3 linked regions of the Oryctolagus cuniculus genome follow. The protein of the gene in region 1 binds, or shares a complex with, the protein of each later gene. Links are inferred from orthologs where the notes say so. Each region holds a gene or a part of one and is shown in the gene's direction. Other genes may lie near its edges.

The links. Proteins that work in one complex are often made in the same cells at the same time.
Region 2: CWC15 (region 1) and CTNNBL1 share a complex: the UniProt entries of both Homo sapiens proteins name them as parts of the PRP19-CDC5L splicing complex. The link is inferred for Oryctolagus cuniculus from reciprocal best matches to the Homo sapiens genes CWC15 and CTNNBL1.
Region 3: CWC15 (region 1) and CRIPT share a complex: the UniProt entries of both Homo sapiens proteins name them as parts of the minor spliceosome. The link is inferred for Oryctolagus cuniculus from reciprocal best matches to the Homo sapiens genes CWC15 and CRIPT.

Annotation. Positions count from the first base shown.
Region 1 is NC_091432.1:86,188,475-86,194,900, reverse strand, and holds the end of CWC15 (spliceosome-associated protein CWC15 homolog), read left to right. Parts: intron 1-2,881; coding exon 2,882-3,011; 3' UTR 3,012-3,055; downstream 3,056-6,426. UniProt on the Homo sapiens protein: Involved in pre-mRNA splicing as component of the spliceosome. Component of the PRP19-CDC5L complex that forms an integral part of the spliceosome and is required for activating pre-mRNA splicing.
Region 2 is NC_091442.1:20,958,601-20,966,874, reverse strand, and holds the start of CTNNBL1 (beta-catenin-like protein 1), read left to right. Parts: upstream 1-3,318; 5' UTR 3,319-3,546; coding exon 3,547-3,576; intron 3,577-8,274. UniProt on the Homo sapiens protein: Component of the PRP19-CDC5L complex that forms an integral part of the spliceosome and is required for activating pre-mRNA splicing.
Region 3 is NC_091433.1:156,144,703-156,153,151, reverse strand, and holds the start of CRIPT (cysteine-rich PDZ-binding protein), read left to right. Parts: upstream 1-3,493; 5' UTR 3,494-3,630; coding exon 3,631-3,646; intron 3,647-5,334; coding exon 5,335-5,400; intron 5,401-6,053; coding exon 6,054-6,108; intron 6,109-8,449. Other genes in the region: PIGF (phosphatidylinositol-glycan biosynthesis class F protein), read right to left, coding at 1,542-1,786, 2,425-2,440. UniProt on the Homo sapiens protein: As a component of the minor spliceosome, involved in the splicing of U12-type introns in pre-mRNAs. Involved in the cytoskeletal anchoring of DLG4 in excitatory synapses.

The DNA of each region.
Region 1 (6,426 bases):
TTTGTCATGTGGGGCAACTTCTGCCTTGCACCTAATAAAAAAATCCAGACTCCACAAAGGAAAGTAAATGGTCAGTATAAACTACATTATTTATACATTGTAGGTACAGTGATGGTGAGAAGATTCCTAAAACCTGGGTTTCCAAATGCCAGCCCTTTCTAAGGAGAGCAGTTCTCAGCCTGCTATCATAACTCTTTAGTGTACAGTGTGTTTGGAGGGCTGAGGTAGAGAGTTAAAGGAGAAGAGACTATAAACAAAAAGTACTATCTATGGTATTTTAGATGATATGCAGAAAAATAAAGTTTTATAGGAAGTGCTGAGTGAAGGAAGCTTAGTGATCAAGGCTCTTGGAGGCTTAACTTTTTTTTTTTTTTTTTTTTTTTTTTTGACAGGCAGAGTGGACAGTGAGAGAGAGAGACAAAGAGAAAGGTCTTCCTTTTGCCATTGGTTCACCCTCCAATGGCCGCCGCAGCCGGCGCACTGCGGCCAGCGCATCATGCTGATCCGATGGCAGGAGCCAGGTGCTTTTCCTGGTCTCCCAGGTGGGTGCAGGGCCCAAACACTTGGGCCATCCTCCGCTGCACTCCCGGGCCATAGCAGAGAGCTGGCCTGGAAGAGGGGCAACCGGGACAGAATCCGGCACCCCGACCGGGACTAGAACCCGGTGTGCCAGCGTGGCAGGTGGAGGATTAGCCTAGTGAGCCACGGCGCCGGCCTGGAGGCTTAACTTTTAAACTATATCCATTATTTCTCACCATCTCCATTGCTGCGTCTTCCATAGTGATGCAGTGCCCCTAATTGTTCTCCTGCACACTCGCCACCCTCTTCACTCCCAGATTTTTCTTGACACAGAAGCGTGATCCTTTTAAACTGAAGTTTACAGCAACAGTCTCCTCTACTAAACCTCCCATGGCTTCTTGACTCATTTGCAGTAAAAACTTGAGTCCTTACAGTGGTCTCTAAAGCTGTAAAAATCTCCCTCCATGCAGAGGCAGCAGCATAGTCAAGGAAGGATTTGCTGACAAGGTGACATTTTTATCAGAGACTGGAGTCTGAGCTATTTGACCCAAACAATTGTGAAAGGATAGAGATAGTGAAGAATGTAGACTAAGGTTGGGGTTAGGGGAGGTGGCAAACTTAGGACACAGTAAGTTTGGCAGGATACGTGCATCTCTGAGGAAATGTTAAGGAGGTAACTTAATATGATTCCAGTCCAAGCTGGGGTAATAAATTTCAGAGTTGTCTGCTTATAGGAGTTCTGACACTGCGTAAGATCACCTCAAGAAGGCCGGCGCCGCGGCTCAGTAGGCTAATCCTCCACCTTCTAGTCCCGGTCGGGGCACCGGATTCTGTCCCGGTTGCCCCTTTTCCAGGCCAGCTCTCTGCTGTGGCCAGGGAGTGCAGTGGAGGATGGCCCAAGTGCTTGGGCCCTGCACCCCATGGGAGACCAGGAGAAGCACCTGGCTCCTGCCATCGGATCAGCGTGGTGCGCCGGCCGCGGCGGCCATTGGAGGGTGAACCAACGGCAAAGGAAGACCTTTCTGTCTGTCTCTCTCTCTCACTGTCCACTCTGCCTGTCAAAAATAAAAAAAAATAAAAAAATAAAATAAAAAAAAAAGATCACCTCAAGAATGAGTATAGCTAGAGAGGAGTCCTAGGACTGAGCATGGTGTTGTATTCAGAGGTTGAGTCGATGATTAGCTATCACTGCCTGAAACAGTAAATGAATTTTGAATGGAAGAAAACTAGACAGAGAAGGAACAGCCAGTGAAACAGAGAACTAAGAGATTGGTGTGGCAAGAGGAGAGGCATGATCATTTAGGGCAAATATTGGTGTCAGGACACGTAAATGAGTGCTACCATTTAGTGGCGTGGAATGATAATTTTGATGTTGGGGAGGAGGGACAAAGAGTTGGGAAGAGAGTGGACATAGAAAAAAATGTATATTGATTTTACTGATTATATATAAAGGTAAGGATAAACAGTTTCTTTTCCTTTTTGGATGCAGATGGAATTGTTTGTAGATGGAAACATGTCTTATATTCTAGTCATGTTGATCTGTTTACACTTTTATGTTTCTGTGTATTGTATCAATGATGACTTCACTAATGCTATATTTCAAAAATGCCCACATTCTTTTCTTATTTCTTCTGTGCCGTTTCTCATGGCATACATACATCAACACACGCAACCACGTTTGAATAGGCTTGTATTTTACACTCGTATCATTTGTTTGAGCTTATATCTTATATGCTGGGTCATGTTATGCAATCTTATCTTATTTTCTCTAACATCTATTTTATAGTCCACCCACGGGTGTTTTTTTTAATACTTACGCAGTACAAAATCCACCCAGAAGTATGCAAACAGAGTTCTACCTTGAGCTCTTTAAGTGCTATCTTTCTGTGGTTTATGTAGATGTGAGTCAATATAAGAACCTTAGTTATTCTACCTGATAGTTCCTGTTCCTTTTGCCCCACAATGTTACTGCTATAGTATGATTACTAAATTAACTAATAAAGAAGATTATATAATATCCTCAAAATGTCATAATCTAAACTATAGTAAATTGATCAGTTATTCTCATCTAGTGACATCTATATTAATGAGGATTATCCTGTATATTCTGTATATTTCTGCTTTATAACTCAGTTTCTTTTACTGGGGAAACAGCAAACTTTACATTCTCTAAGTAAGAATTGTCTTTCCTGCTAAAATAAAGCACGATTATTAAGGATTACGTTAATCTTCTGGGTATAATTGCTGCATCAAATGATGTGCATGTCGAGCATATTTCTGTATAAAGACTAAGCTTTGCAGTTCGCGTGGTGCCTTCCTGATACAAACGTTATAGGGTGTTCTATGTTTTTTCCCTGTTTAGGTGGGATGATGATGTTGTCTTCAAGAACTGTGCAAAAGGTGTAGATGATCAAAAGAAAGACAAAAGATTTGTAAATGATACACTGCGATCTGAATTTCACAAGAAGTTTATGGAGAAATATATTAAGTAGTACAGTTTTATGTGCTTAATTAAAGACTCAAATGTTAAGGATCATCTTGGCTTTGGTTAGTTTTTTCTTTTTATCCACCCCCACTTTCCTGTCATCTAAATCATTTGTAGACTTCCCTAATTTTAAATCCCAAAATACCTTTTCCTTTATTCATACCTTATTTTATAATGGACATGGGAATAGTTTGAACCCAGTCTCCATTATCAGTGTTTCCAATCATGTTTTCTTTTTAATTGAGAAAAGGAACTTTGCTTGTAATAAATATTTTTAATCTAAATAGCTAAATTTGTGTTCCAAATTTTTGTTGTAATTTATGCAGCTTATAAAATGTTGCATACTTTCTTTTCAAAAGAAAACTTATGTGCTTTGTGTTTCTTTGTGCGTTTAATTCCCCCCCCCACTTCTCTCATTGATTTAAGATCAATTAATGTATAATATTTTATCTGTGCATTTTTTAAGAGTGTGAAGAAAGATTAAAGGAATTCCATGTTGGACCTCCTGTTGGTATGGAAGAGTATTGTCCATCAGTAAATGGTGCAGCCTTCTGCAGGCACTCCATGATCAGAGACAGAAGCTCTGTAAGCGTTTCTAGGATGCACATGATGCTCACTTGTTTCTCCTGGTATTCAGCTGCCATGTTTCTCTTGAAAGTTATTAGAGTTTTCACACCGACGTGCATTAGATAAAAAGCCTATGGCATTCCAAATCCAAAAATAAGTAAAGGAAAACCTAGTTGGAAATAGGATTTTATTTGTTGTCCTGGAAGGCATGTCTTCCAGGTGAGAGGTGAGAGGGACACAACCGAGCTCTACTAAAAGCCAGAACTCCGGGAAATGAAGTTTCTGTAAGCTCAGCTGCAACTTCTCCTATTTGAGCTTGATAGGTTCAGGAAGAATCAGAAAAAAGCTAGTTTCCATGATTTCTTTCTTCCTATCCATGTGGTTTTCTTTCTTTTTTTGTTGGAAGGCAGAGTTACAGAGAGGCACAGAGAAAAGTCTTTCATCCGCTGGTTCATTCCCCAAATGGCCACAACAGCTAGAGCTGTGCCAATCCGGAGCCAGGAGCTTCCTCTGGGTCTCCAACTTGGGTACAGGGGCCCAAGCACTTGAATCATCTTCTGCTGCTTTCCCAGGCCATAGAGAGCTGGATCAGAAGTGGAGCAGCTTGGACTTGAACCGGCTCCTATATGGGATGCTGGTACTGTAGGCGGCAGCTTCCTCCACTAACCACAGCACTGGCCCAAGTAGTTTTTTAATGTAAAACATCATAGAACTTGTCTCAGTCCCAGAACACACACAAACGTGTCGGCTTCAGATTTATAGCCTACTTAGCTAGACTGCCCTGTGTCCTCTTTGCAAAAGTACCTTGTATAGGAATGACTGAGGGGTCCGTCATACCCTTCGAATGCTGATGCTGTGTGAAAGAGCCAGAGCTTTTAAGCCAGGTGGGCCTGGGTGCGAAGCCCAGCTTTACCTGTGGCTTTAGTACAGCAAACATTGAATGACCACCAAGTGCACCCGTGCTGCATTCATCTAATTGACACCACTCCCTCTAAGGTAGGCGTGATTATTTTCCCCATTTTATGGAGAAGGAAAACATAAGAGAAGTTAAAATAAACTTTAATGAAAGAAGACTAAGACCTGTAACTGTTGATGCTAAGCCATCTACTGCTATGCTTGACTTGATGTTAATTAGTCCTCAGGCTTTGCTCCACAGTCAGAAACAACAGTAACAGTAGTCTTGAGGGAGTTTTGTAGGCATTGACCAATGTAAACTTCAAGTGTCTGGCAGGCATATTTTAGGGACTTCATACCTTCTTCCTCATACCTTGCTCTGCTAATAGCAGGAACTGGCTAAAAATTTCAAAGCCTTTTGTTTAGTTCTGTCACAAAGGTTTGGTTCTGAATTAAGAGGTTCTGTGGCCCCTCAAAGCATGGTATGACCCACACTTGCATTGTTAGTTGCTAGGATTAGAAATGGCAGTCACAGAAACTTAAGTGAAATAGAGGATTAGCTTAATATTTAAAAGATGTCACCCGTGGGGCTGGCACTGTGTCATAATGGGTAAAGCTGCTGCCTACTGTGCCAACATCCCACATGGGCATTGATATGAGTCCCAGCTGCTCCATTTCTGATCCAGCTCGCTTATGGCCTGGGAAAGAAGTAGAAGTTGGCCCAAGTCCTTGGTCCCCTTCACCCACGTGGGAGACCCAGTAGAAGCTTCTGACTCCTGGCTTCAGATTAGCACAGCTCCAGTTATTGTGGCCAATTGGAGAGTGAACCAGCGGGTGGAAGACCTCCCTCCCCCTTCTCTGCCTCTCTTCTCTCTGTGTGTTACTGACTTTCGAATAAATAAATATAAATCTTTAAAACAAAACAAAGTGCCACCTGTGTCCGGCTTTCATGGCTTCCTTCTTTTCATCTGCCCAACTTGCTCTGTGAGACTGTTTCTGTATTACAAAACTTGAAGTCATTCATGTTCCTGGAAAAAGGGTCTTTATAACTTCACTGCCCCACTGGCCAGTAGAGCTTCTGTATTCTGAAACAAAGCTGGTCCATTGAGCAGGGAACTCAGTTATCTAGAATAGATAGGGGCAGGGAGACAGAGATAGTTCATTTGTTAGTTAGACATGGCCTGAGATACTCAGCCACATGCATCGTAGACAAGACATGGAAACAGCAGTAATTCCAAACTCCTTGGGGTAGAGCTGCCTCCCCCTCTTCCACAATACCTAGCACCATGCTAGGCATGGAGCAAGGCCTCTATGAATACCAGATGGTGTGGATTGGATGTTAGCTATTTTGGAAGAAGCACTATGGAGTAGGACAGTATCCCAAAGGATGCTAGACTGACTTTTAGTTGTGCCAGTTATTAGTTTTATGCCTTAACATTATTTAAATATCTGTGTCTCAGTTTCCTCCTTTATACAGAATTTAACAATCCCACCATGCAAAGCTGAAGATTGGATGTGACATAATAGAATGCAGTTCATGGACCTGTTGGAGGCTCTTGGAGGGTGAGAGTAACTACCCTTGTCCTTCTCCTCTAAATTTCCAGTCAGCTATAAAACAAGAGGAAAAGTATTAACTACAGATCCCAGCCAGTGTCCCGGCCTAAGTGCAGTTGCCTAGGGTATAATGGCCCTAATTTCAATTGAAATTGTTAGAATAATTTGACCTTTGAATGTGTGTTTTGCAAATGAAATCTGGTGGCACAGTGAAACATGATAAGTGGGGGCCATGGCTTCTGAGGTCCTGCCTCCCAGAGATAGATTCTCTGCTGCCCATTCCTGGTGCAAGCCTGGATGCTGGCACTAGGTGGTGGGCACCCAGCTGAGCACAGAGGGGAAAGCAAGAACCAAAGGAGTAGAGGCTTGGGAAGTTTTTCCAGAAGCAGCCCTGGCTGGACACTAGA
Region 2 (8,274 bases), on another chromosome or scaffold:
CCATATAGGATGCTGCGTTTCAGGACGGGGCATTAACCCGCTGCACCACAGCGCTGGCCCCTCTAGTATATTATTAATATTAATATTACATGGGATAGGGATCGGCATTGTGGCATAGCAGGTAAAGCCGCTGCCTGCTACACCATCATCCCATATGGGCACTGGTTCATGTCCTAGCTGCTCCACTTCTGATCCAGCTCCCTGCTAATGCACCTTGGAAAAGCAGTAGAGGATGGCCCAAGTGTTTGGGCCCCTGCCACCCATGTGGGAGACCCAAATGAAGCTCCAGGCTTCTGGATTTGGCCTGGCTCAGCCTTGGCCTTTATGACCATCTGGGGAGTAAACTTGCAGATGGAAGATCTCTCTCTCTCGTTCCTGCTCTCTCTGTAATTCTGACTTTCAATTAAATCTTTTTTAAGAAAACATAGGGGATATATTTATGCTAAAAATCCATTGCTGACCTGAACTGCAGGTTTAGCTGGGTGTCCTGAATGTGCTACCCCAGCCGCCCTCTCTGGCCCACTTCCCACCATGTCCTCCACACACCCCAGAGCCCATCCACAGGAAACGCCCCTCCTCTCCCACGTCTTCGCTCATGCTGTTCCCCCACTGGGTCACCATCCTCCCAACCCTGCCCTCTGGACACACTCTTCCCCTCCTTCATACCCTGGCCCAGCGGCTCCTCCCCTGGGCAACCTTCCCTGGCAAACCGGGTCATTCTCATTCCAGGGTGCTCACTGAACTTGGTTCTCAGACCATTTTGCCTTACAATTCTCTCTCTTAAGGCCTAGTTTCTAAAAAATAAATAAATAATAAAATAAAAAAAGCATAGGCATTGACGCCGTGGTACAGTGGGTTAAGTAGTCACTTCAGATGCCAAGGCCTGGCTACTTGGCTTCCGATCCAGTGTCCAGCTAATACACTTGGAAAGCAGCAGAAGATACCCAAGTACTCAAGTCCCTGCTACCCCTTTGGGAGTCTGGATGGAGTTCTATCTCCTGGCTTTGGCCTGGCCCAGTCACGGATGTTGAGGCCATTTTGGGGATGAACCAACAGATGGAAGAACTCTCCCATTCTCACTTTCTTTTTGTCATGCTGCCTTTCAAATAAACAAATGTGTTAAAGAATAAATAAAAAGGCATAGTCAAGATGAAATGCCTGGAAAGGAAAGAGGGTAAGGAGTGCTCCTGCCCCTCCCACCTGCTCTCCTGCCCCATCGCACTAATAGTCACATCAAACTTGATTGAGTTCTTTCGTGTGCCAGGCATCATGCTAGGTGCTTTGCATGTAGCATCTCAAGGAAGCCTCCTCCCCTTCCGAGAGATTCAGCTGAATCGCCGCCTGCGGCAGCCGAGGCCATCAGCCAGGTAGAGGGGAAGCTGCTTGCCCCCGTCTCCAGCGGCAATGCATTCCAGGAGGGCAGGAGCTTCATTTTATAAACTGCTCAATCCTCAGAGCCCAGCTCTGCATCTGGCCTTGAGTAGCTCTCCCACTTAAATACTTAGGGAGGGTCCGGCGCCGTGGCTCACTTGGTTAATCCTCTGCCTGCGGCACCTGCATCCCATATGGGCGCCGGGTTCTAGTCCCAGTGGGTCCTCTTCCAGTCCAGCTCTCTGCTGCGGCCCGGGAAGGCAGTGGAGGAAGGCCCAAGTACTTGGGTACCTGCACCCACATCGGAGACCAGGAAGAAGCACCTGGCTCCTGGCTTCGGATTGGCGTAGTGCCGGCTGTGGCGGCCATTTGGGGGGTGAACCAACGGAAGGAAGCCCTTTCTCTCTGACTCTCTCACTAACTCTATCTGTCAAATAAAAAAAAAAATACTTAGGGAATGAATGAATGATTCACTTTCCAGGTGAGAAGCTGCAATTTAGAGAGACAGAGAAACTTGCCCAAGGGCATACACTAGCTGTCGTGGTAGAACTCGGGCTAGCTCCAGTTAGGGGGGTGCTGGGAGATGTTTAACAACAGACTTTGTAAAAACAACAGCAAACCGTGACCACCCCGATGTGTAGCAGTCACTGGTTCACAGTGTGGAAACACTCCCAAACGTCCTGAAAATAGAGCCGTATTGTGTGAGCCTTCTTACACCAGCTGGCCCTGCATATCATACATTAGAACACAGGGCTGCTCGTGTCCAGGTCTGTTCTGCCTCAGTGAGGAGAAAGGTCACCCGAAGCAAACTCGGTTCAAAGCAGAGTGTACAGACGAGCCTTAAAAAACAAACCAATCACAGAACTGCCTTCCCATGCCTGTGAGCACACAATCCAGTGTCTCCCAAGGCGCACAAGGCCCTGGCCTGGGCTTTGGAGACACACAACCCCCACGATCCTTCTCTCAAACAGCCTTCGCTCCAGGACACAGAGGCTGACGGACAAGAACCAAGCAGCCAAACGTTGAGTACAAAATTACAGACTGAGACACAGACCGTGGAACAGGCCCCAGGGAGGATAGGGACCGGGGAGCCGCTGCCACTTGGAGTGTGGTGAGTTGAGGAAGCCCACTCTCAGAAGGCGACACTTGGTATCAGATGGACCAGTGAGTTGGATGAGGCGTGGCGCTACCAGCCAGGCAGAAGAGAGGATTTGAAGAATGAAATGAATTTCTGTGCAGCTTGAGACAGTGGGATGGGATTATAGATATGAATGTGAAGGGCAGGGGCTTATGGGGAGGTTTAATTCCCTGGGTGGAGTCTGGAAGACAGAGTCTCAGAAGATGAGATGCACTCTTTGATTGTCTTCCAGTGACGGGCAGTTTCTCCTCCAGAAAACCCGTCTGCACCACTTGGATCAGCTCCCAGCGGCCTTGCCTGGATGATCAGAAGCTTGGGAGGAATCCACGACCACCCCCAGGTGCGGTGGCAGTCCTGGCTGTAGGCCCTGGCCCCTCACCTTTGGAGCTAGCCCTGCCCATCGGAAATACACATGAGACCCACAGATGTAAAAATCTTGCAGCCACGTTGAAGGAGTCAAAAGATACGAGAGAGATTAATTTTCTCATCTATTTTATTTGGCCCGAACATTTCGACGTGTCATCAGTCTAAGTCTTGGAAACCCCGTGTGCATTCTGGCTGGATTTCAAGCGCGCGATAGCTACTCTGTGGCTGCGTGGAACATGGTGCTGGCCTATGCCGTTCTGAGCCTCAGTTTCCTTACCTGGATGAAATCGCCTGGACCACCGCAGGGCTTGTGAGAGCACACGTGAGGCCACACCACCCCGCCCTACACAGAGAGGGAGCGCATTAAATCCCGGCTCCCGCCGCCCCTTCTCTCCCCACGCCTCCCTCCTCCAAGTCTCCGCCCCCTTCCCCGCCCCTTTCAGGCTCCAGGCGGAAGCCGTACGGTCACCACTGCGGCGCGCTTTACGGTAGCGCTGCCTTTTTCCGCAGTGTGGCTGCTCGCCTGCCGCACGCACTTTTACCCTATTGGCTCTGCGGGGCCTGGCACAGGGCGCTTTTCGGCAGTGTGGCTGGAAGCGCTGCCGAGCGGCCCGCGGTGTGGGTTTGAGTGGAGGGAACGAGCGGATCGGCTGTTGCCTGGACGGGGAACTATGGACGTGGGCGAACTTCTGAGCTACCAGGTATGAGGGACTGGGGAGACCGGGAGACTGCTCCTCACCGGGTCGGAGATCGCAGGGCCAGAGTGCCTTGGTCTCACCTCGTCTCATCTCCTTCCGGGCCCCCTCGCTTCTGACCTCATCTCACTTCACTCCTGCAAACTTCGCTAGTCCCTTCCTATGCCTGCTCCGGGCCTGAGCCCCTTTGCCTACTCGCACCCCATCCAGAGGTCTGGTTCCCATCGTCCTCTCCCAGCGGCCGCCACCGCCGAGTCGTTGAGTTTGTGCCGCTAGCCTCAGTTTTCTTATCTGCATAGTGGAGACGGTTTCAGCTACTTAGTAGAGTTGTTTGAGGTCTGTGTCAGCTGCTGAGCGTGCAAAGCTGTGCCCGAGTTGGCCGCCCTTGCTGGGAGATGCTCGTAATTCCAGCTTGGGCTGGGCCCCTGGGAAGCAGGAAGGCTCCCTTGTTGGGGTACTTGTGGGAAAACGGGAGGCCGGGCCGAGGTCCCTGAGCAGGTGAGAGCCGGGGTCGGAGCGCAGGTATCCTGACTTCAACCTCGGGATTCATCGCTTCTCTGATTGCCTGAGAGGCTCCGCGTGGGAGGCCGCAGAACCGCCCTGCCCGTCCGGGGTCGGTAGCCGCACGCCCTCCCGACCCCTGACGTGTGGCCAGTCAGAGCTGAGGGGTACTGTGAGTATGAGATCACACTGGGTTCCGAAGACTCAGCGAGAAAAAAGGAGTGTTTTTATAGGATTTTGTGATCACGCTGAGTCTAGCAACCACACTGATTATCGATCATATTGATTAAGTGATCCTATTTTGGATAATGGGTGAAATAAAATACATTTAAAACCAATTTTACTTGTTTCTGTTGACTTTCTAAAAGATGTATTTATTTTTTACTTGAAAGACTGAGCAACAGAATGAAAATGGGAGAGGGAGAGGGAGATAGAGATCTCTGTCTGCTGGTTCACTCCCCAAATGGCAGCAACAAGCTACATCTGGGCCAGGCTGAAGCCAGAAGCCAGGAACTCCATCCTGCTACAGGGGCGGCAGGGACCCAGGTACTTGGGCATCTTCTGCTGCCTTCCCAGGCGCATGAGCCGGGAGCTGGATCAGAAGTGGAATGAGTGCTGTGGTATGGGATGCCATCATGGCAGGCAGTGTTTTAACCTGACTTTTCAATGTGGCCACTAGAAAATTCTAAGGGGCTGGCTCTGGCAGAGTGCGTAAAGCTGCCGCCTGCAGTGCTGTGGCATCCCTTATGGGCACCAGTTCAAGTCCCAGTTGTTCCACTTCACGGGGCCGGCGCTGTGGTGTAGCAGGTTAAGCTGCTGCCTGCAGGTCCAGCATCCCATAAGGGCGCCAGTTTGAGACCTGGCTGCTCCACTTCTTATCCAGCTGCCTATACCCACATGGGAGACCCAGGGAGACCCAGATGAAGCTCCTGCCTCCTGCCTTTGGCCTGGCCAACCGTGGCCGTTGGGCCATTTGGGGAATGGACCAAGGGATGGAAGACACCTTTCTCTCTCACTCCCTCCTTCCTTCCCTCTCCCTCTGCCTTTGCCTTTCTGTGACTCTGACTTTCAAATAAATAGATAAATATTTAAAAAAGTAAGTTCCATATACTGTTGGCCATATTTTCAGTAGGCAGCTCTGCAGTCAAGAATAAGTGATTAAGAGCCATGTGTCTGTAGCCCCAGGTTGTGTGGAATATTTGGCCACTAACTGGCTGCTGTAACCTTGAAGAGACTGTTTAACCTTTCTATTCCTTGTTTTCCTCATCTGTGAGTGGGGCCGATGACGGTACCTTTCATAGGGCTGCTGTTGAGAAATGTAGACCAATGCTTGACAAAGTGTAAATGTTCAATAAATTGCTAATTATTTTCATGCCACTGCCTTAGCCAATATACGGAAACGCCACCCTGGGGGTTCCAGACGTCTGGGGAAAGAACTTGTGGAGCACGCGGGGGTATGCGTAACTCAGAGTTCTTTTAGACAATTGAGTAGACTGTGAAGGAAGGAAGGAAGGAAATAGGAGGGTTGTTGAATGAGTGTTCATTCAGGGTTCCAGCAGGAGGTGTGCCTGTTTGGGAGCGCTGGTGTAAGAAGACAGGGTGTGGGGCCAGCCCCGTGGCTCACTTGGTTAATCCTCCACCTGCGGTGCCGGCATCCCATATGGGCGCCGGGTTCTTGTCCCGGTTGGGGCCCGGGTTCTAGTCCTGGTTGCTCCTCTTCCAGTCCAGCTTTCTGCTGTGGCCCCGGAGGGCCGTGGAGGATGGCCCAAGTGCTTGGGCCCCTGCACCTGCATGGGAGACCGGGAAGAAGCACCTGGCTCCTGGCTTCAGATCAGCGCAGCGCTGGCTGTAGCGGCCATTTGGGGAGTGAACCAACAGAAGGAAGACCTTTCTCTCTGTCTCTCTCTCTCTCTCACTGTCTATAACTCTACCTGTCAAATACATAAATAGAAAACAAAAATTGAAAAAAGTTATTAAAAGAAAACAGGGTGCAGATGGGTGCCTCCTCACACAAGGCATCACGTGTAAGAAAAAGGGGTACAGAACAGAGGAGACAGAGTACCAACTCGCAACTAGACCGAATTTATTCAAAGAAAATAAATCCGCAGAGGTCAACCAACTGCCAGTGTACACACAGACTGAACAAGTGGCAGAGGGCCCAGACCACAGCAGGCTGGGCTTTTTTTTTTTTTTTTTTTTTTTTTTTTTTGGACAGGCAGAGTGTACAGTGAGAAAGAGAGACAGAGAGGAAGGTTTTCCTTTTTCCGTTGGTTCACCCACCAGTGGCCGCTGCAGCCAGTGCCCTGCGGCCGGCGCACCATGCTTATCCGAAGCCAGGAGCCAGGTGCTTCTCTTGGTCTCCCATGCGGGTGCAGGGCCCAAGGACTTGGGCCATCCTCCACTGCACGCCCAGGCCACAGCAGAGAGCTGGACAGAATCCGGTGCTCCAACCAGGACTAGAACCCGGTGTGCCGGCGCCTCAGGTGGAGGGTTAGCCTATTGAGCTGTGGCACCGGCCAAGGCTGGGCTTTTTATATCTTAGGTGGGCTGGGGTAGGGTGGGGGGGCAGTGGGGGGGTGAGCGGCTCCATACTGGTTCTTTGCAGGGGATGGATGGGGTGGGGAGCAATACAGGATGTGAGACTGAAGTGGTCTCTTGAAAGAAGGGAAGGGTAACGAGAACCTAACGTGGCTGAGGCTTCGTCCTTGTTCCATCAGACCTGACTCTGAGTACAGATAAGGAGAGGGGGCGCTGGTTTCTTTCTGGCTACTTCCTGCTGATCCGGAGCGTTGTTGCAGGACGGGGTATCCACACTCTGGATCGGGTTGATTGAAGAAGAGCAGTCTTGTGTTGTTCCTGTGTGATGACTTGGGGTCTAGCAGTCATTCGCTCCTGTACGGCCTTTTGAAATATGTTAATTATACATGGTAGGGGTGGGAGCACTATGATTATGAGGATAAAAGGAGAAATTAGAAACATAGCCCGTGGTGGAAAGATGACCAACATGAGGACAAAGGGGAAAACAGGAAAGCGAGAGTCCTGTCCGTATGCCTGGCTGCCAAAGAGAAAGGACGCTCCTGGTTTGTTTCGTGTGTACGTGCTGGCAAGGAGCTGTGGGATGGAGTTCGTCTGGCCTGCTTCTAGTCCTGGGCTCCCTGGTTTCCTCCCTCTGCTTGTGGAAACCCTGGCTGCCTTCAGGGGCTTGGGCAAGGACTGAAGCTGAGTTCTTCCAGCTGAGCATGGGCGGAGTAGGGACCTCAGGCTTCCAGCAGAAGGTGGCCGCGTAAGGGGGCTGCGGCACTAGCTCGCAGAAACTGTCTCCATTGGAGCTTTCATGTGCATGACCATCTAGAATTTTATTGCCTGGAGCAAACAAATCTCACAAGCAGGTTAAATGCACAGGGTCTAAAACTGAGGACAGAGTCCTTATTAGAGGAGCTAGGAAGGGTCCAGAAGGGGGTTTTCCCACTGAGAGGCAGACAGAAACTGACAGGAAGGGCTGGAAAATAATCCGGTGTAGGCCGGTGCCGCGGCTCACTAGGCTAATCCTCCGCCTTGCGGCGCCGGCACACCGAGTTCTAGTCCCGGTCGGGGCGCCGGATTCTGTCCCGGTTGCCCCTCTCCCAGGCCAGCTCTCTGCTGTGTTCCGGGAGTGCGATGGAGGATGGCCCAGGTGCTTGGGCCCTGCACCCCATGGGAGACCAGGAGAAGTACCTGGCTCCTGCCATCGGATCAGCGCGGTACGCCGGCCGCAGCACACCAGCCGCAGCGGCCATTGGAGGGTGAACCAACGGCAAAGGAAGACCTTTCTCTCTGTCTCTCTCTCTCTCTCTCTCACTGTCCACTCTGCCTGTCAAAAAAAAAAAAAAAAAAAAAAAATGGAACAGCCAGGACATGAACTGACTCCCATATGTGATGCTGGCATTGCAGGCTATGGCTTAATGCCACAGCTGGCCCCAGAATAAATTTTTTAACAAGATTTAGTTACTTATTTGAAAGGCAGAGTTAGAGAGACAGAGAGAGATCTTCCATTTGCTGCTTTACTCCTCAAGTGGCTGCAATGGCCAGGGCTTATCCAGGCTGAAGCCAGGAGCCCGTCATTCCTCCTGTCTCTTGTGTGGGTGGGAGCACTTCGGCCGTCATCTGCTGCTTTCCCAGGTACTCCAGCAGGGAGCTGGGTCAGAAGCAGAGCAGCTGGGACCT
Region 3 (8,449 bases), on another chromosome or scaffold:
ACACTGAGTCTTCCTTATCATACAGCAGTAAAAGTTTTTTAAATTACCTAGCAGAGTTTACACAGAGTGTTAAATAATGTTAAATAAGGACTTTGTTAAGTAAGAAGCAAGTGTTACACTGCAATGACTATTCCAGAAAATCGGCCATGTTCAAACCTACAGTTACCATGGATGCCTATCATGAAATTACTAACAAATCCATTAAGTGTCTCTCAGAAATGCAAGAATAAATGAAAATAAACTGCCACGTTTTAGAAGATAAGGATTGGGTGGCACCGTGGCTCACTTAGTTAATCCTCTGCCTGCAGCGCCAGCATCCTATATAGGTGCCAGGTTCCAGTCCTGGTTCTCCTCTTCTAGTCCAGCTCTCTGCTGTGGCCGGGAAGGCAGTGGAGGATGGCCCAAGTGCCTGGGTCCCTGCACCCACATGGGAGACCAGGAGGAAGCACCTGGCTCCTGGCTTCAGACTGGCACAGCGCCCACCGTAGCTGCCATTTGGGGGGTGAACCAATGGAAGGAAGACCTTTCTCTCTGTCTCTCTCACTGTCTATAACTCTACCTGTCAAATAAATAAATAAATAAATAAAAAGAAGATAAGGATTAAAGATAGCCTGCTACATGTATGTATCTTCAATAGTGGCATACAATGACTACAAGCTCACAATGCTAGCTTCCCCAATCAGTTATAAATCCACAGTTAATGCATGGCAAGGATCTATCAAACATTGTGGGCAGCCTTCCAGCATGTAATAGGTTACTGATTCGAAAAAAAATCAGGATCTCTTTACTCACTGTAAATAACTCACAGAGAACTCAACTAATATATTCTTCCATTAAGAGAAACACCGGCTCCATGCCCAAACTAGTTAAGAAGAAGCAAGCAGGTGCAGGCAAGCAGGGGCAGGTGCTGTGGCGCAGCGGGTTAAAGCCACCACCTGCAACGCCAGCATTCCGTATGGGCACTGATTCCAGTCCCAGCTGCTCCACTTCCAATCCAGCTCACTGCTAATGCACCTGGGAAAGAAGCAGGGGATGGGCCACGTGCTTGGGTCCCTGTCACCAACATGGGAGACCCAGTTGAAGCGCCTGGCTCCTGGCCCAGTCCTGGCCATTGCAGCCATTTGGAGAGTGAACTAGCAGATAGAAGAGCTCTCTCTCTCTTTCTGTAACTCTAACTTTCAGATAAATAAATAAATCTTTAAAAAAATAAAATAAAAAGCTTTGGGGTAGTGCTGTCGTGCAGCATGTAAAGCTGCTACCTGTGACACCAGCATCCCATACAGGCGCTGGTTCGAGTCCCAGCTGCTCTACTTCTGGTCCGGCTCCCTGCTAATGGCCTGGGAAAAGCAACAGAAGATGATGCAAACATCTGGGCCCCTGCCGCCCATGTGGGAGACCCAGGTGAAACTCCCGGCTTCAGCCTGGCCCAGCACTGGCTGTTGCCACCATCTAGGGGTGAAAGACCTTTCTCTCTGCCTCTCCTCTCTGGAACTGTGGCTTTCAAATACATAAAGATATCTTCTAAAAAAAATAAACATTACCTTATGTGATGATGAACTTCTCTTGGAGGATACATTTGGTTTCACTACTAAATATAACACTAGATTGACAGCAGTTACAGAAACAGAGCAGATGCCCAACCACGTCAGGTGGGTCTCCAATATCGAGAAACTTTCCAAAAAGAATGATGGAACAAAGGTGCTCAGGATAACAGAAAGCACGCATAAAAGATGGGCATAAAATAGTCTCCTGATATCAGTATTTTTCATGGTGCTTCCTTGGGTGACTATATAATGAAAAACAAGAAAAGAAAAATTACATGTCATGACTTCTTCCCATTTTCAACATTTCAATCTCTAAAAATCAGCCATACACAAAGTCAGTTTTCTGGGGGCACTGTATTGGTTCAAAACACAAGAAGATATATACATGTAAATGTACATGTAAGCTTAACATTTTAATTTTTTTAATACGGTACAAACATTTCAGAGACTAAAAGGGACCCTTTTACTCATTTCTTAAATATGTGTGGCTGGTTTCTGCCAAGAGCCACATACTAGGACCAGGTAAGCCACCCATTTTGAAATCAAAGGTGAAATCCACTGCATGGATTAAATGATCTGCCTCTGTTGGAAATGCAACCTATGCTTTCTAGAAACCTCACGAATACACTTTGGCTAAAATGTTGGTGTCCCTCCTCATCTAACATCGCGTTTCACATCTAGTAAATGCCAAGGACACACTGGAATATTCAAGTGGCAGCCTAGGCAACCAAAGAACTCAAAGAGCATTACCCTAAACTAAGGGATCCCTAGACTCTAGCATTTCCAAAATGACTAGGTCTGTTACAGGTGCTAGATTCCAATCAAGAATAAAACATGAATGGAGGCAGAAAAAATTTTACTGTCTCATGTATTTAGTTACCTGAGAGCTTATGCATTGTATTGGCAGTGTGGAGTACAGACTTTATTAAATAGTCAACGTGTTACACTGTGAATATTCCACCAAACAGAAACAGCCCTAAAAAATACATAAAAGCATATGTGGGTGGGGAGAGGATGGAGCTCACTGGCGAATAGCTCTTATTTGATTCCCGCGGTCATTTATCAAAGGCAAGTAGTTTACTGATTAAACAAGAAAAACAAGTCAGGAGACTTGTTCCAAGCTCCCCAGCGCTACAGACATAAAGGGACACACGAGGGATCCGGTAGAGAACGGGCGACAAGCAGGGACAAAGTTTCTCAGACTCTCAGCTGCCTGCGGGTCGGGTAGGGGGAACAGAAATCCATTCTCTCAACAGATCCCCCTTACTTTCTCTGGGCCACCCTCGGAATCCCAGCAGCAGAAGCCACACTCCAGCGCCTGCTCAAAGAACGAAGGAACCCGGGCAGGTGAAGCGCCTGCCCTTCTCGGCGGGCCCACGAGGACACCTGCCGGGCGCGCCTTCGCGGGGCCACCGCCACGGCGCCGGCGATCTCGGCCCGCCCACGCCGGCCAGCAGGGCGCCGGCGAGCCCTCCCGGGGCAGCCGCCGCCCGGGTCGCGGACTTCATCCGCAGCCCCACCCCACACCGGGTCACTGGGGCTCGGCCCGTCAGCCGGCGAAAGCTGAGGGACGCGGGCAGGAACGCGCCTGAGAAAGAGGAGCGGTCCAGCAGGGGAGCCCCTGGGTCACGCGGAAGGAGGCCCTCCGAGGGCCGGCGGGGGCGCGCAAGCTCGCGACCACTCGGGCAGTTGGCGGAGGCGCCTTCCACACCTCCCAGAGGAGAACGCAGCCAACGGGGCTTACCTAACTCTCCCGCCCGCGAAGGGAAAGGGAACTACTGCCTCCCACCATCAAGGCACAACGGGCTGCCCCAGCCCACGCGCAGGCGCAAGCGCGCGGGGCGGAGACCCACGGTCGCACAGCCAATCGCAGAAGGGGATGGGCGGACAAACGAGGCAGCCCCGCCTACCCGCTGGCGTTCATGCCTCCCGCGGCTTTCCAGGCGTAGGATTGGCGGGAGCGGAGGATTAGGGGCCGGAAGTAGATTGACGTAGCCCGGAAGGAAAATTCTTCCCAGGCTGTAGTGTTGATGTTTTCAAGCTGCGGCTGATTCTGGGGCGAGGAGGGCGAATCGTCGGCGGAAAGATGGTGTGCGAAAAATGTGAGTTAAGGGGCCGCTTGTGTGGGGAGAGGAGGCTGGGAGAACTTACTCGGACTCTCCTGGGAACTTGGTTTTTCCTTTTCCCACAGGTCTCTAAGTCTAGCCTGTGTTCTCCCACCCTTGCCCTGTGACCCTTCCTGCCCCTCATCGACTGTGTAATCCCGTATATTTTGTCATCAGAATGGCCTTAGTTCTGCACCTTTTTGCCCATTGCCGTCGCCGCCTTCTGGCTCTCGCCTCATCAGTTACGGCTTCTCGACCGCCTCCGTCAGGCTTAAAATGGACCTTAAAAGTCATTTCTGTAGCGTGTGGAGTTGCGAGATCTAGCAATTCCAGACCTCCAATTGAATTTTAATTTAAGATAAACAACGAATACTTTTTTTTAGTGCTGTAAGTATGCCCCATTCGGTTATTTAGGACGTGCCTTACTAAATTGGCTTCGTTGCTTATTCTGAATGCATCCCATCCTATGAAAGAAACAGTATCTGGGTGGGGGAGGCTGGAGACCCCCACGACCTACGAAGAAGTCTCTGCAAGGAGGCATTGCTGGCTTGAGGAAAGTATTTTCCTCTGTGGTTGCCACCCAGTGTTTTTAATTCAAACTCTTAAGATTTGTAGAAAATACACCCTGTGGACCTACCAAGCTGTTTATGTGTTTAAAAGCAGCTGTCAAGTTCCCAAATCCTCTCCCTCTGGCTCTTCTGTGACAAGAGTTCCACTCCTCTTAATCCTGATTATGGTCTAATGAACATGACCTGTGGGCATCCCCGTGGTAGATGGATACAGTCTGGACACACAGACCCATGGCAAAGCTGCGTGGTGTTCCCAGATTTCCCATCTGAAAATGAGAACGCAACATAAGCCTTGGGTTTTTTTGAGAATTACATGAAATGACATAGGTAATGCCTGGTACAAAGGTCCCTAGTGTGTCCTCTGTCATAACTCACTACTGCGTGACACAGAATTAAACTCTGCTCCATATGTGGGCCAGAGTGCAACTAATGCCTCCCTCCTTCTGGATACTACACCACATACCATTGTTGCCTTACATTAAGCTTTAAGAAAATAACCATTAAGACGTAATTCACATGCCATGCAATTCATGCACTTTAAGTGTACAATTCACTGGTTTTCAGTATATTCAGAGTTGTGCAGTGTGATCATAGGCTGACCTGTCCATCCCTTCAGAAAGTGCATGATCTTACTTGACACTGACTGTCTGTAACTCTGCTTCATCTTGTACTTGCAGTGGTTTTTGGACTTGTGTGTGTATTTGAGTAAGTTTGAATTAAATATCTTTATATTATGTGCTGGCCCAAATGTCTCATCTCTTAGGTGTGGTTCTTAAATCTCTAACTTTGGCCTCCCATGTAATTTGTGTTAGTCTGTCACTTGGGATGCTTGTATCCCAGATTAGAGTGTCTGGGTTTTGCATCCTTGGATGTGAGTCCCAGTTCCACTCCCAACCAGTGAATGGGAAACCACCTGCCTCCCCAACCTGCATTTCAAACAAATAAAATAAAATTTTTTTAAAAAAAATCTTGAATCTCAGTTCACTAGCCTCTACCCCAGCATTAACAGGCTCCCACTGTAATATGACTGTTGATGGCATTGGGAGCCTTGGCACCATGTGGTGTATTTATTAACTAGCAAGTTATAATGCCCCTTTTACTATTTTATCACAACAGGTGAAAAGAAACTTGGCACTGTTATCACTCCGGATACATGGAAGGATGGTGCAAGAAATACCACAGGTATTTTTTTTCTTTTGGAAAACAGAAATTGAATTAAATACCACCTGTGAATAATATATTTTTACATTTATTTGTAAAGTGAGATGTTGTATTCTCAGAGTATCTTGTCTATAAAGAATATACGGGGTCCCCCAGTGATTTAATGCCTTCTCTCTAGTTCTCCCAGTTACATGCACAGGTTCCTAACATAGTAAGCAGGAGATAGCAAACCTACTAAATATTTTCAAGTGATGAGTGTGTCATAGTGTAGAGTCCGAATTTAATTTCTCCTCTCCTCACCTAGTTTTTATCTTCTTTATAAAAAAAAAATTACTTAAGCTGTTTTCACCAGGAAGGAAACGAAAGTTGAACTGGACTCAGAGTCTGTGACACCAAAGTAGTAACTTCTAGATTTTATAGTGGATGGAGTAAATGTAGACTCACCCCTAAAGTACTGCTTGCTGTCTGAGTAAGAAAACTGCATCTCACATAAACGTCATTGTTTCCCTAATATTTTCTAAGTAGCATCTCAAAAACTTAGCTATTTCACGAGAATTTAAAAATTTTGATATAGGCTATTCTAATGGTGGGAGGTCAAAGGATGAACTTCTAACTGAATTAGTAGGTGTGATGTTAAGTATGTAGAAATAACTTACTGAAATATTTTGATACAGAAAGTGGTGGAAGAAAGCTGAATGAAAATAAAGCTTTGACTTCAAAAAAAGCAAGGTGGGTAAGAGCCTCTGTGGAGCCGTCGTGTAAGTTCCCACTCCTGAGACTAAGCATGCGGGAGTGAATTTACTGTTCATCATTGCATTGTGCTCAAAGCATGAGAGGTCCTGGCAGAGGGAGCCAGGGATCTGGTGTAACCTGCTGGTTAGCACTGTTCCTTCTCACTGTGTCAGCCTCTGGAGATACCAGTGCCACGGTCTCTATAATTGGACCAGAAGACATGAACTAGCAGATGGGGGATCTGGGTCTCAATCTTTCCCTCTCTGCCCCCACCCCCACTTGTCTCTTTGTCTCTTGAGAAGATAAAATGAAAAATCCAGAGACCCCGCCAAAGCCAGCCCATTTCCTTGCTCCCTTCCCCTTCATGGCAGTGTTTTCAGAAGGCTTGTCCAGACACCGTCCATGTCCTTGAGCCTCATTCTTTCCTTCAGCCACTCCAGTCATTCCTTCATCCCCATCACTCACCTGAAACTCTCTTATCAAGGTGGTGAGTTACCTTTCAGATGGATGGCTGCTCTTCTGTTCTTACCTAACCTCTAGTAACTCTGTTTGGCACCCCTTATCCCCTTGGCCTCTGGGGCTCCTCACTGGCTGTTGCTTTTCATTCAGGTACCTTAGAACTTAACCCTAGACTTCCTTTTTCTTATAAATTTATAAAGTCTCCAAAAGTGACTTTAGTGTATTGGATATAAATCCAGGCTGTATATTCATGACTCCCAAATGTATCTCTAGTTCTGACTGCTCCTCTGAGCTCTAGGTGTATATCTGATGGTCGCTTGAGTTATCCAATTTGATGTCTAACAGGTAACTTCCTTCCGTCTTCGGATAGTAGGTGGCGCTACTGTCCAGTCCAGGTATTCAAGCCTGGAAGCCAGCATTCCTCACCGATTGCTCCCTTTCCCCCACTTCCCATACCTAACTCTAAGTTCTTTGAAGCTACCTCCAAAATATAACCTGAATCTACCTACTTCTATCCGTCTCACTACTATTATGCTGTTCCAAACCAGTTATTTCTTTAAAAAAAAAAAGATTTATTTATTTTGAAAGAGTTACAGAAAGAGGGAATGACAGAAAGATCTTTTATCCACTGGTTCGCTTCCCAGATGACCACAATGGCCAGCACTGGGCCAGGCTGAAGCCAGGAACCAGGGGCTTCATCCATGTCTCCCATGTGGGTGGCAGGTGCCCAAACACTTGAGCCATCCTCTGCTGCTTTCGCAGGCCATAGCAGAGAGCTGGATGGGAAGTGGAGCAGCCGGGACACAAATCAGTGTCTATAGAGGATGCTGGCGTCACAAGCAGGGGCTTTACCTCCTATGCCACAAAGCCAGCGCCCCCCAGATCAGTTATTTTTTACTTAGATACTGTAACAGCATTTCTGTCTCCCTGGCTGTCTGGTTTCCTACACCTCACAGTCTCCAGAGTAGTCCTGTAAAAAGGCCATGTAATTCCTTGGCTTAAAACCCTCTTGTGTGTGTGTGTGTTTTTTCACCCCACTTGGAACAAAGTCTAAACACACTTTCGTGTGCTACCAGGTTCTCCATGCTAAGAGCTGTGACGCCTCCTACTGCTCTGATTCCCTGTTGACCACACTGGCCCTCATTCTTCATTTACTGTCATCCCTCTGAAGAGGTCTGTGCACTCCTTCCTAGAGCTCATCCCTCAGAGCTTACTCATCTGGCTCCTTGCTGCACTGGTCTCAGCTGAAATGTCAGCTCCTCAGAGACGGCTCCCTCGCCAGCATCTGAACCAGTTCCTCTCTCCCTCCCCTCCTCTCTGGAACACCTAGCACTGTCGGAATAGCTTGTTCTATTAAATTGACAAGTTCCTTACTTCCTGCTTCTAGAATGTCGGCTCCATGAGAGCAGGGATGCTGTGTTTCATGGTCATCTCTGGTATTTAGAGTGGTAACTGGCACATAATAGGTACTCAGTATACATCTGCTGCATGAACAGTGTTTGTTTTGTGACATCATCCTGAAGATTCAAAATAACAAAAACAAGGCTTTTACTACATATAGTGCCTAGCACATAGTAGGTGCTTATTAAGTAATGTTTATAGACCAGCAGAGCAGATTGAATCTTCAATGCAGTGTCACAGTGTATATTCTTGACTGACTTTAATCATGCTATCTATGATCATTCAGTTTTTTGTTGTTATTTGAACAGATTGTAGGTTTTATACATCCTCAGGTCCTTTTGCTCTCAAACATGCTCAGATATCATTAGAAAGTTGCTGTGATTTTGGGGTACTCTAAGCATCTTGTTTTGGGAAGCATACCACTATATTGCATTGAACCCATGATATTTATAAGGTGCATTGTTACTTTAAGAAAAAA